2 linked regions of the Nothobranchius furzeri genome follow. The protein of the gene in region 1 interacts with the protein of each later gene in a pairwise test. Links are inferred from orthologs where the notes say so. Each region holds a gene or a part of one and is shown on either strand. Other genes may lie near its edges. The genes, in order: nmt2 and acbd6.

Region 1 (4,387 bases):
GGGTGTAGCAGCTAACAAAGACACACACACACAGGCTCACAATGACATTGTGACATCATATGGTACCAGCTAACATTCTAGGGTACCTCTTAGCTAATTGCAATGGTAGATTTAAATTAAAATGCAGTGCAGAGTTTTTACCATGGCAACGGCACAACACTGACAGTTTTGGGCAAAAAAATTAAAATTTTAACTCATTTCAGTTCAAAAATACTTTATTAATCCCAGAGGGAAATTGATTGCTGTAGTAGCTCAGAATAATAATAATAATCAAGTCATCAAAGAGTTGTTGTATATTACAATGGCTGTTGGCAGGAAGGATCTCCAGTAGCGGTCAGTGTTGCAGCCAAACTGAAGAAGCCTCTGACTGAAGACACTCTTCCGTTGTCGGACAGTCTTGTGAAGAGAACGCTCAGGGTTGTCCATCATGTTCTTGATTCTCTGGAGAATCCTTCTTTGCATTATCTCCTCCAGCGGTTCCACAGTCGTCCCCAGAACAGAACCAGCCTTTTTTATTAGGCTGTTGAGCCTTTTCAGGTCCCTGCTTCTGATGCTGACCAGCACCTGATTTATCATTGCCCATTATGATCGATGGAAGAGATGGTTTGAATTTCCGTTTTCTCTGTCTCTGTTTTGCTCCTGCTCTGCACCCACGCTTCTTGCGTTTTAGCGCTGCTCCCGATTGTAAACCAGTTTGTTACCATGGTTACGCATCATAACAAATGCTCAAAAAGTGGAAAAAAGAGAATAAATTGTAGTAAAAATCCTCTTAAGCTTCACAGCACCAGAAACAGAAAAGTAAAATGTCAAAAAGATACAGTTTCTTTGAGAAACTAGAGGAAAAAATGTCCAAAAAAGGCAAAACTTACATATAGTCAACAGAGCTACTCCAACATGCAGCCACCCAGAGCAGCGCAGTTCCGGAAAATGCACTAAAGTGCAAAACTATTGACTACACGTGTCTGCAGCACGATTAGACACGCATTTATATAGTTTATCAGAAAAAAAACCGGTTGATTTGAGGATGATTTGCTCTTTAAGGGATGTCAATCTAGTGCATTTAGTTCTGGTGTTTATTGAACATCCTCTTCGCTGTGGCTTTGTTTTTATGTTTGTTCTGACTAATTTAAATGTTTAGAATGTGTAAAATTGTGGATTTAAAAAAACCTAAAGGACTTTACCTTTCAAAAGAAATGAAGAAATAAACAGCAACAGCAGTTACATAACCTGTGCAAGTTAAAATCAAACCATGACACTGTTTTGATCACGTGGTTGGTTTGTTAACCAGCTCGCATTAATAAAGCTCAAGTTCAAAGTTCAGTCGACTTTTCCTGAACCCAGAAATAATAGAATCTGGAGGTAAATCTGGAGATTATAATCGCGCTAATTCTGGTTTTAAAACTCTTCTACGGACTTCATCTCTGCGTTCCCTCCTATGGCGTCCAGGCGGCGCTGTTTCCTCCGACATTTTCTTTGTTTTTTTTCCATCTCGCCCGCTGTCCGAGCCCTCCCAAACGGCGGCTCGCTGTTTTAAAACATTTTTTCCCATGGCGGAGGACAGTGAATCCGCGGCCAGTCAGCAGAGCCTGGAGCTGGACGACCAGGACACATGCGGGATAGACGGGGACAACGAGGAGGAGAACGAGCTAATGCAGGGGTGAGGATGGCCTTTCCGAGCGGCTAGCGCAGCTAGCTAGCTAACGTTAGCGGACACAAACGTAACCAAACGGTTAACAGGCTGCTTTAAAGTGTGGCGTGTTGTTCTGAGAGTGTGTGTGGCTTTGTGTGTTTGATTTTATTAACAGCCGGTGTGAGTGTTACGTGCCGCCAGGGTCCAACCTGAATGTCATCGGTGTTGGGGCAAACCCGGCTAACAGCAAGTAGCTCAGCTGTCAGTCGTTGCTATGGCAGCTAAGGGTTAGCTCTGCGCGTTTGTGTTGGTCGTTACAGCAGTCCGGGGGTAGACCTGGGGGCCAAGAGGAAGAAGAAGAAACAGAAGAGGAAAAAAGAGAAGCCCAGCTCGGGGGGAGCCAAATCTGACTCTGCGTCCGATTCTCAGGAGATAAAGGTGGGATGATCTCAACCAGAGCCTAAAGGAAGCTGTCATTAGTGGGTGGGGGGTGAGGTTCGAGCCAAAGCCTAAAGGACACACCTGGTCATTTAGAGGTGAAACCACATTCAGATACACCACTCACCACAAAGTTAGTCACTCATAAAGTCAGAGGCCAAACCTGAGCTTCTGATTATATGGAAACAAAGTCAACAAGAAAGCAATTCATCTTTATTTATTTAGTTTTGTTTATAAGCTCCTGTTGACAGCTTCAGGGAGGCAGGCGTCTGAGTGACAGGTCACTTCAGCTGCTTTTTCCTCATTAAAGATAACAAACACACGAAAGAGAACCAGCAGCAGTCAGTCCTCTTAAACAGGCAACACACCTTTAGGTTTCTGCAGAACGGTTGTAATTCTCATGTTTAAGCGTTTGACATCTCAGTTTATTAACTAGTCTTGTCTCTTGTTTTAAATACGAATTTCATAAACTCAGAACCCTGGCTTGCCCATTCATAACATGCAGTACTTCCAAAGAGCCATGGAGTTGCTGTCCTGCCAGGGTCCAGCAAGGAGCGTCGATGAGGCAGCCAAGCACAAGTACCAGTTCTGGGACACCCAGCCCGTCCCAAAGTTAAGTAAGTGTCCACTAAAACCGAGTAGCGTGGAAAACAGCGATTTTTATTGGACCGTGGCAAAGTGTGTTTCTGTCTAACCCTATTATCACTATTTTACACGTTGAAATAGCACTTAAAGTTCCAACGAATCATCTTGACGAGGTAAAAAGAGCAGAAAATCTTTTAAATGTAAATCAGTTGTTAGACTTTGGTTTTAAAGCTGGATTTATTCAGTAACCTTGTGTTTGCAGTCAGCTGATTTCTTTCATCGGCATCTTGATACGTTTTATGTGCTCACTCAACTGTCCATCCCATAATCCCAACAGCTGTGGCATACAGTGGGGCTCTGGGTTTTTCAGTGCTAGGTGGCATCAGATTAAACCGTTTCCATGACAACCAGAGTCAGGTCTCCCGTCACAGGCCGGCCTGGTGGACACAGCCAGCTGATGCCGTCAGCTGTTGTCTTGTTCTTGTTACGTTTCTACAAAAGTGAGACGCTTTGTGTGACTTGTATCATGTCGGGAGTGACTCTGTGCTGCGATTGGACGGTAGGATTTTACCTGCGAGTTATCCGTTTTTGCAGATGAAGTTGTGACGACTCACGGGCCGATTGAAGCTGACAAAGAAAACATCAGACAGGAGCCATATTCTTTACCTCAAGGCTTTATGTGGGACACGCTGGACCTCGGTAATGCAGATGTAGTAAGTAGAGATCTTGTTTTAAATGTTCACGTGTGAATCGTAAACATTTGCAATCCTTTACAATGTTCATTATGTCCTCCTTGTAAATATTAAACAGGTTCTCTTGCTTCGGACGTGAAGGTGTTTCTAGTTACCTTTTACACGTTTCGACCGTCGTCTGCAGTCTTCTTCACAGGTGTCACAGGTGTTTGTGTGACGCGTCTTTATCAGCTGTTCTTCTGTGTTGATCGTTTTCCCTTGATCCCGGTCCGTGAGAGAGGGTGCTCGCTGCAGACCTACAAAGGCGGAGCTGCACCATAAGGTGGAGCTGCACCAGAGTCAGCCCCGCCCATTCACGCAAACTCAGCCTAGCCCACTGACTTCCGTTTTTGTTTTTCAACTTTATCGCAAACTAACCTGACTCTCATGAATTACGGCTGTTACTAGTTTACAGTCGTTAATGCTATGTTCTGTGCTCCAATTAAACAAGGTAAATATAACTTGCTACATGACAAAGTCTGAATATATCCCGAAATGAAAAGGTTTCTTTTAGCGAATATCTGCCCACAGCCGCTCTAACAAAAGTCCTGTACAACAACATTTGACGGCATCATGTGGGTTCTGGTAGTCCAGTGGCAAGATCGTTTGACTTAAGTTTTGCTTTCCCCTCAGCTGATGCTGGTTCGGTTCTCGGTGGGGTCGGCAACAATCTAGCCAGCTGAAACATTTAATTTGTTCATATTTTTGTTGTAATGTTCATTTTCAGCAAAATATTTATGTCTCTACAAGTTCTTTGAATTTGGTCGTTCCTAAACAGCATTTTAGTTGAAACTCTGCTCACAAATGGACTCACACTGGCTAAATAAACGAATGAATAAATAAAAAAACACATTAGTCATTATATGTTAAACGGCATACCAATAAATTGTTGTAAACATAGTACTGGCAAGTGTAGCTAGAAATGAGGAAAAGTGGTTATAGAATATTTCCACTACTGGGAGGCGAACCTGCGAAAAACTGCATTACAACCAGACACTATAAC
Region 2 (4,296 bases), on another chromosome or scaffold:
CAGAGTTCTGTCCACACCGTGGTGCTGAAGCAGTCCCTGAGAGCCTCCTCACACTCATCAGTCCACCTCCTCACTATACGTGGGGCCACAGCCTGCCTGTGCCGAATATGCTTCGTTGGTGTTGGCATAAAACAAGTCCAGTATTTTATTGTCTCTGGTGGGACAGGTAACATACTGCGTAAATGTGGGCAGAACAGATGACGGAGAAGCATGGTTGAAATCCCCAGAGATGAGAAAAAGGGCCACAGGAGGGGCTCGGAGTAGACCCGCTGCTGCTCCATATCAAGAGGAGCCAGTTGAGGTGGCTGTGGCATCTAGTTAGGATGCCTCCTGGACGCCTCCCTGGTGAGGTTTTCTGGGCACGTCCAATCGGGAGGAGACCTAAAGGGAGACCCAGGACATGCTGGAGGGACTCTGTCTCTCAGCTGGCCAAGGAACGCCTTAGGATTCCCCCGGAGGAGCTGGCCCAAGTGGGCCATATATATGTATGTTTATTTATTTGGCATATTTATTTTGGGGGGGTATTTTTAGGATGTATTTACCTCAAAGTTGAGACCGTAAAGAATGTAAGAAATCAAGAAGAAGAAGAAAATATAATTTCTATAGCGCCTCTCAAGATAAAAATCACGAGGCGCTTCACAAAAACAAAAAAAATATTAAAATATAAAAAAGCATTTAGAAAATGTTTAAAATATATTTAAAATGAGCAAAAATAGGCAATTGGGACTTAAAAGAAAAAATGTTAAGAAAGAGAGAGAGTGAATAGGAAAGAGGGAAATCAGTGGATCCTGAGGAAGGTGGAATAGGTGGGGAGAGCAGAATAAAGAGAGAGTGGTGAAGAAGGTCATACAAAATCGAGCTTGAACAAGTGAGTCTTCAGCTGCTTTTTAAAGGAGTTCACTGAGTCCACTGATCTCAGACTCAGGGGGAGAGAGTTCCAGAGTCTGGGGGCCACAGCAGCAAATGATCTGTCACCTTTGGTCTTTAGCCTGGTGCTGCACAACCAGTAGGCTTTGATCACTGGACCTCAGGGACCTGCTGGGGGTGTAGGGACTAAGAAGATCACCAATGTAAGATGGTGCTTGTCCATGTAAGGCCCTATAGACCAGAACCAGGATCTTGAAACGAACCCTGAAGTTGACTGGCAGCCAGTGAAGCTGGAGGAGAAGCGAGGTGATGTGGGTGTCAACTATGTAACACTGACATCTAGTGGCCCCATCTCTGTTAAACATCCATCTACTTCAGCAGAGGGTAATGAAGTGATACAGCAAACCCAAATTTAAATTAGATTAAATTACAAAGAGAGAATTATTTATTTATCAATGGTTCATAAGATCAATAATAGAACAGCATGTGTTTCAGACAAAGTGATTTAATTAAAATAATTATCCTCACATTGTTAAATCAGGTAGGCTTAAGGAAAATACTAAAAAGGTCATCAAACCTCTTGGTTCTATTCTTAAAACATTTTACTTCTCAAATATCTTTGAGGATTTGAACTATTTGGAATTTATTTCTTTTTTAAAACAAATTTCAGAAAAACGTTTGAATGAGCAGCTCTGGTTCTACCTTTGTGGTGCCTTCTGGGTCTAACACATTGACACAGGTAATGTACTCTCGCATCGCTTGCTCAGCGTCCATGTCTCCAAGCTGCTTCCAGGCTAGCCTGTGGTGAAATCACAAACTCCATCACAATCCTGTTCAACAGTCAAGGGTGTGAGGCTTCATCTGGACCGAGATTTTCTTAAAAGGTCCATTAAAAGGTCAGGAAACTTTCACAATACAATAAAACCAATGATTGGAAAAGTAAAGGTCCTGCCAAAGAAAATCTGAATATAATGGTACATTTTAAGAAAGACTTTTACTTGTTACACCGTTTTATGATTGCATTTCAGGTAAAAGTATCTGGGTACATTTGTGGGTATAAGTCCTTTAAAAGACAACAGGCTAAAATATGACTAAATACTCTCTTCATTTTCACATGTGAGGGAATTATTTTCCCTTTTGTATGCACATGCTACTAATTTAATTTAAAAAATACATAAACTAGAAACTAATTCCTATATTTCAACGAGGCCAGCGAGTTTAAACAACATACCATTTTCTCTGCCCTTCAAAATCAAAGAAACCAGGTTTTGGGGTGTTGCACTTCCCTACTTTGACCTGAAAACAAAACACACACATAATTAATCTGGTTGCTGTCCCATCTGAACCTGGATCACTGTTATAAACATGTTTGGAACAAACACTCCTTCAGAGTATGTGGCTGTAGTTTCATCTGAAGCCACTAGGGGTCACTAACTACGCCAGACGGACACACTCGTATGGTTAAAACTGGTGTTGAAAATGTGACACTCACCTGTTTAAAACGAGCATACAGGTACAGCAGCTGGTCCCTGCTGGCCGTCTGAATCAAGTCTCTCACTCGGTCAGCTGCAGACTCAAACTCCTGCTCCAGTTCCTCTCCCTCCATTTCCTCCGTCATCTCCACGGCACTACAATCAAATTTACTCAAACCCAAGTCCGAGTCCGAGTCTGAACCCGCTCCACCAAGAGGCTCGCCGGTATCGGGCCGCGCTGGATCCGTACCCGAGCCCGTCGCAGTGTCCGGGGAGGACGAGGGTGAACCAGAGGCCATTGTTATTGTTCACAACGCGCTGTCCTATAAACCACAACCACCAGAAATCCCCGAGTGGAAAGCAGCCGCAGAGAAGCTGTCAGATATTTATTTGTAAAAGTATTATTATTATTGCTAATAACGCTTTTAATCCGTTATCGATGCCAGACTCATTTCTACGGTAAGTCCGTGTTTAGTCCTTTCATCAAAAGAGGTCGGCGCAATCTCTAGCCAAGAAGAAAGGTTCCGGAGCTGTGCAAATAAACGCACCCATGATGTGTGACGTATTTCAGGTCAAATCCAGGTCAACTTGAAAAATGGCTAAATTCATATTTTGTATGGTTGGATATTAAACCAACCAGGTTCCAAGCAGAGCTTCAATTTGCAACAAGAAGAAATGGGAGTGAGACAAAACATTTTGACTAGAAATGTACTGAAAATAACTTAAAATCAAGCACGCTGTTTACATGTATGGCACATACAAAATGTGCATTCACACATCTGTTGATGCTCTTTCATGAGGAAGGTTTGTTTAAATTTTTTTTGACACAGTTAAAGGGGAAACAAATTCTGTGTGGAGTTGTGATTATTACGTCTGCTGGGGTGTGACTTTTTGATCAGCTGTAAAACAGCCTGTTTTAGTTTAAGCATTGTTTTCAATAAATTACATGCTCAAAAATGCTTTGTCTCTTTAATTTTTTCTTGTTGATGAATCTCTACTTGGAAACTCGTTAGGATCCAACCATGCCAAATATGTTTCTTGGCCATTTTCAAGTGGTCCTAAACTTTTGATTGGGACTCTGTTTTTTATTTACTTACATTGCACTTCTCCACCATTACATTTGTGTACATACACATAAACAATAAATTTAATTAGGAAATGTTATTGATACACAAAGTTGAAACAAGCAACAGCAGAAATGAGACATCCAAAATTATTAGGCCCCTGGCTATCAATAGTTCCCCCTTTCTAGCCACAACTGACAACAATCTCTTAGAGTAGTTCTTTTCTAGGTTGGCACAGCTCTCCATAAAGATTTTGGTCCATTCTTCCTTTACAATTTGTTGTAGCTGGCTCAAATCACATGGTTTCCAAGCTTTTATTCACTTTGCGCACCCACCACAGATTCTCAGTAGAATTGAGGTCAGGGCTCTGTGTGGGTCAGGATCTTGGTTTTGATGTCCTTAACTGTTGGATATTCATGTATTATTTGGGTCATTGTCTTGTTGGAGCAGCCAGCAATGACCTAAGCCTAGACTACAAGCAGATTTCTGCATGTTCTTCCTCAGATTTTTTTCACGACACTTGTTTCATGACACCAAACAAGGCTCCCTGTGCCTAAACCTGCAAAACAACCCCTCAGTATATGCTCCCACCACTGCGCTTACCTGTGGGAACTGTGATGGTTGAAGGACTCTCTCGCTTTTTCTTTGCCAAACGCAACATCCATTTGCCCAAACAGTTCCACTTTAGACTCATCAGACCAAAGGACAGACTTCCAAAACTAATATTAATCTTTCAAACGGGCACATTTCAGTCAGGCTCTGATGTGTAGCTCGTAGGGTAAAGGGGTTCTGCTGGCCCTATGATGACGAGCCCTCACAACTGTGTTCCTTGAAACGCCGACGCCAGAAGAGGCCAGGTCAGCACCAATCATCATGGCAGATGTCCGAGGCTC

What was found.
Region 2: the proteins of nmt2 (region 1) and acbd6 interact in binary tests that used the Homo sapiens proteins (3 or more experiments, as listed by UniProt). The link is inferred for Nothobranchius furzeri from reciprocal best matches to the Homo sapiens genes NMT2 and ACBD6.

The regions. Positions count from the first base shown.
Region 1 is NC_091745.1:79,248,198-79,252,584, forward strand, and holds the start of nmt2 (glycylpeptide N-tetradecanoyltransferase 2), read left to right. Parts: upstream 1-1,325; 5' UTR 1,326-1,547; coding exon 1,548-1,657; intron 1,658-1,950; coding exon 1,951-2,068; intron 2,069-2,543; coding exon 2,544-2,685; intron 2,686-3,247; coding exon 3,248-3,366; intron 3,367-4,387.
Region 2 is NC_091748.1:57,395,898-57,400,193, forward strand, and holds the start of acbd6 (acyl-CoA-binding domain-containing protein 6), read right to left. Parts: upstream 2,853-4,296; 5' UTR 2,639-2,852; coding exon 2,360-2,638; intron 2,164-2,359; coding exon 2,099-2,163; intron 1,667-2,098; coding exon 1,570-1,666; intron 1-1,569. UniProt on the Homo sapiens protein: Binds long-chain acyl-coenzyme A molecules with a strong preference for unsaturated C18:1-CoA, lower affinity for unsaturated C20:4-CoA, and very weak affinity for saturated C16:0-CoA. Does not bind fatty acids. Plays a role in protein N-myristoylation.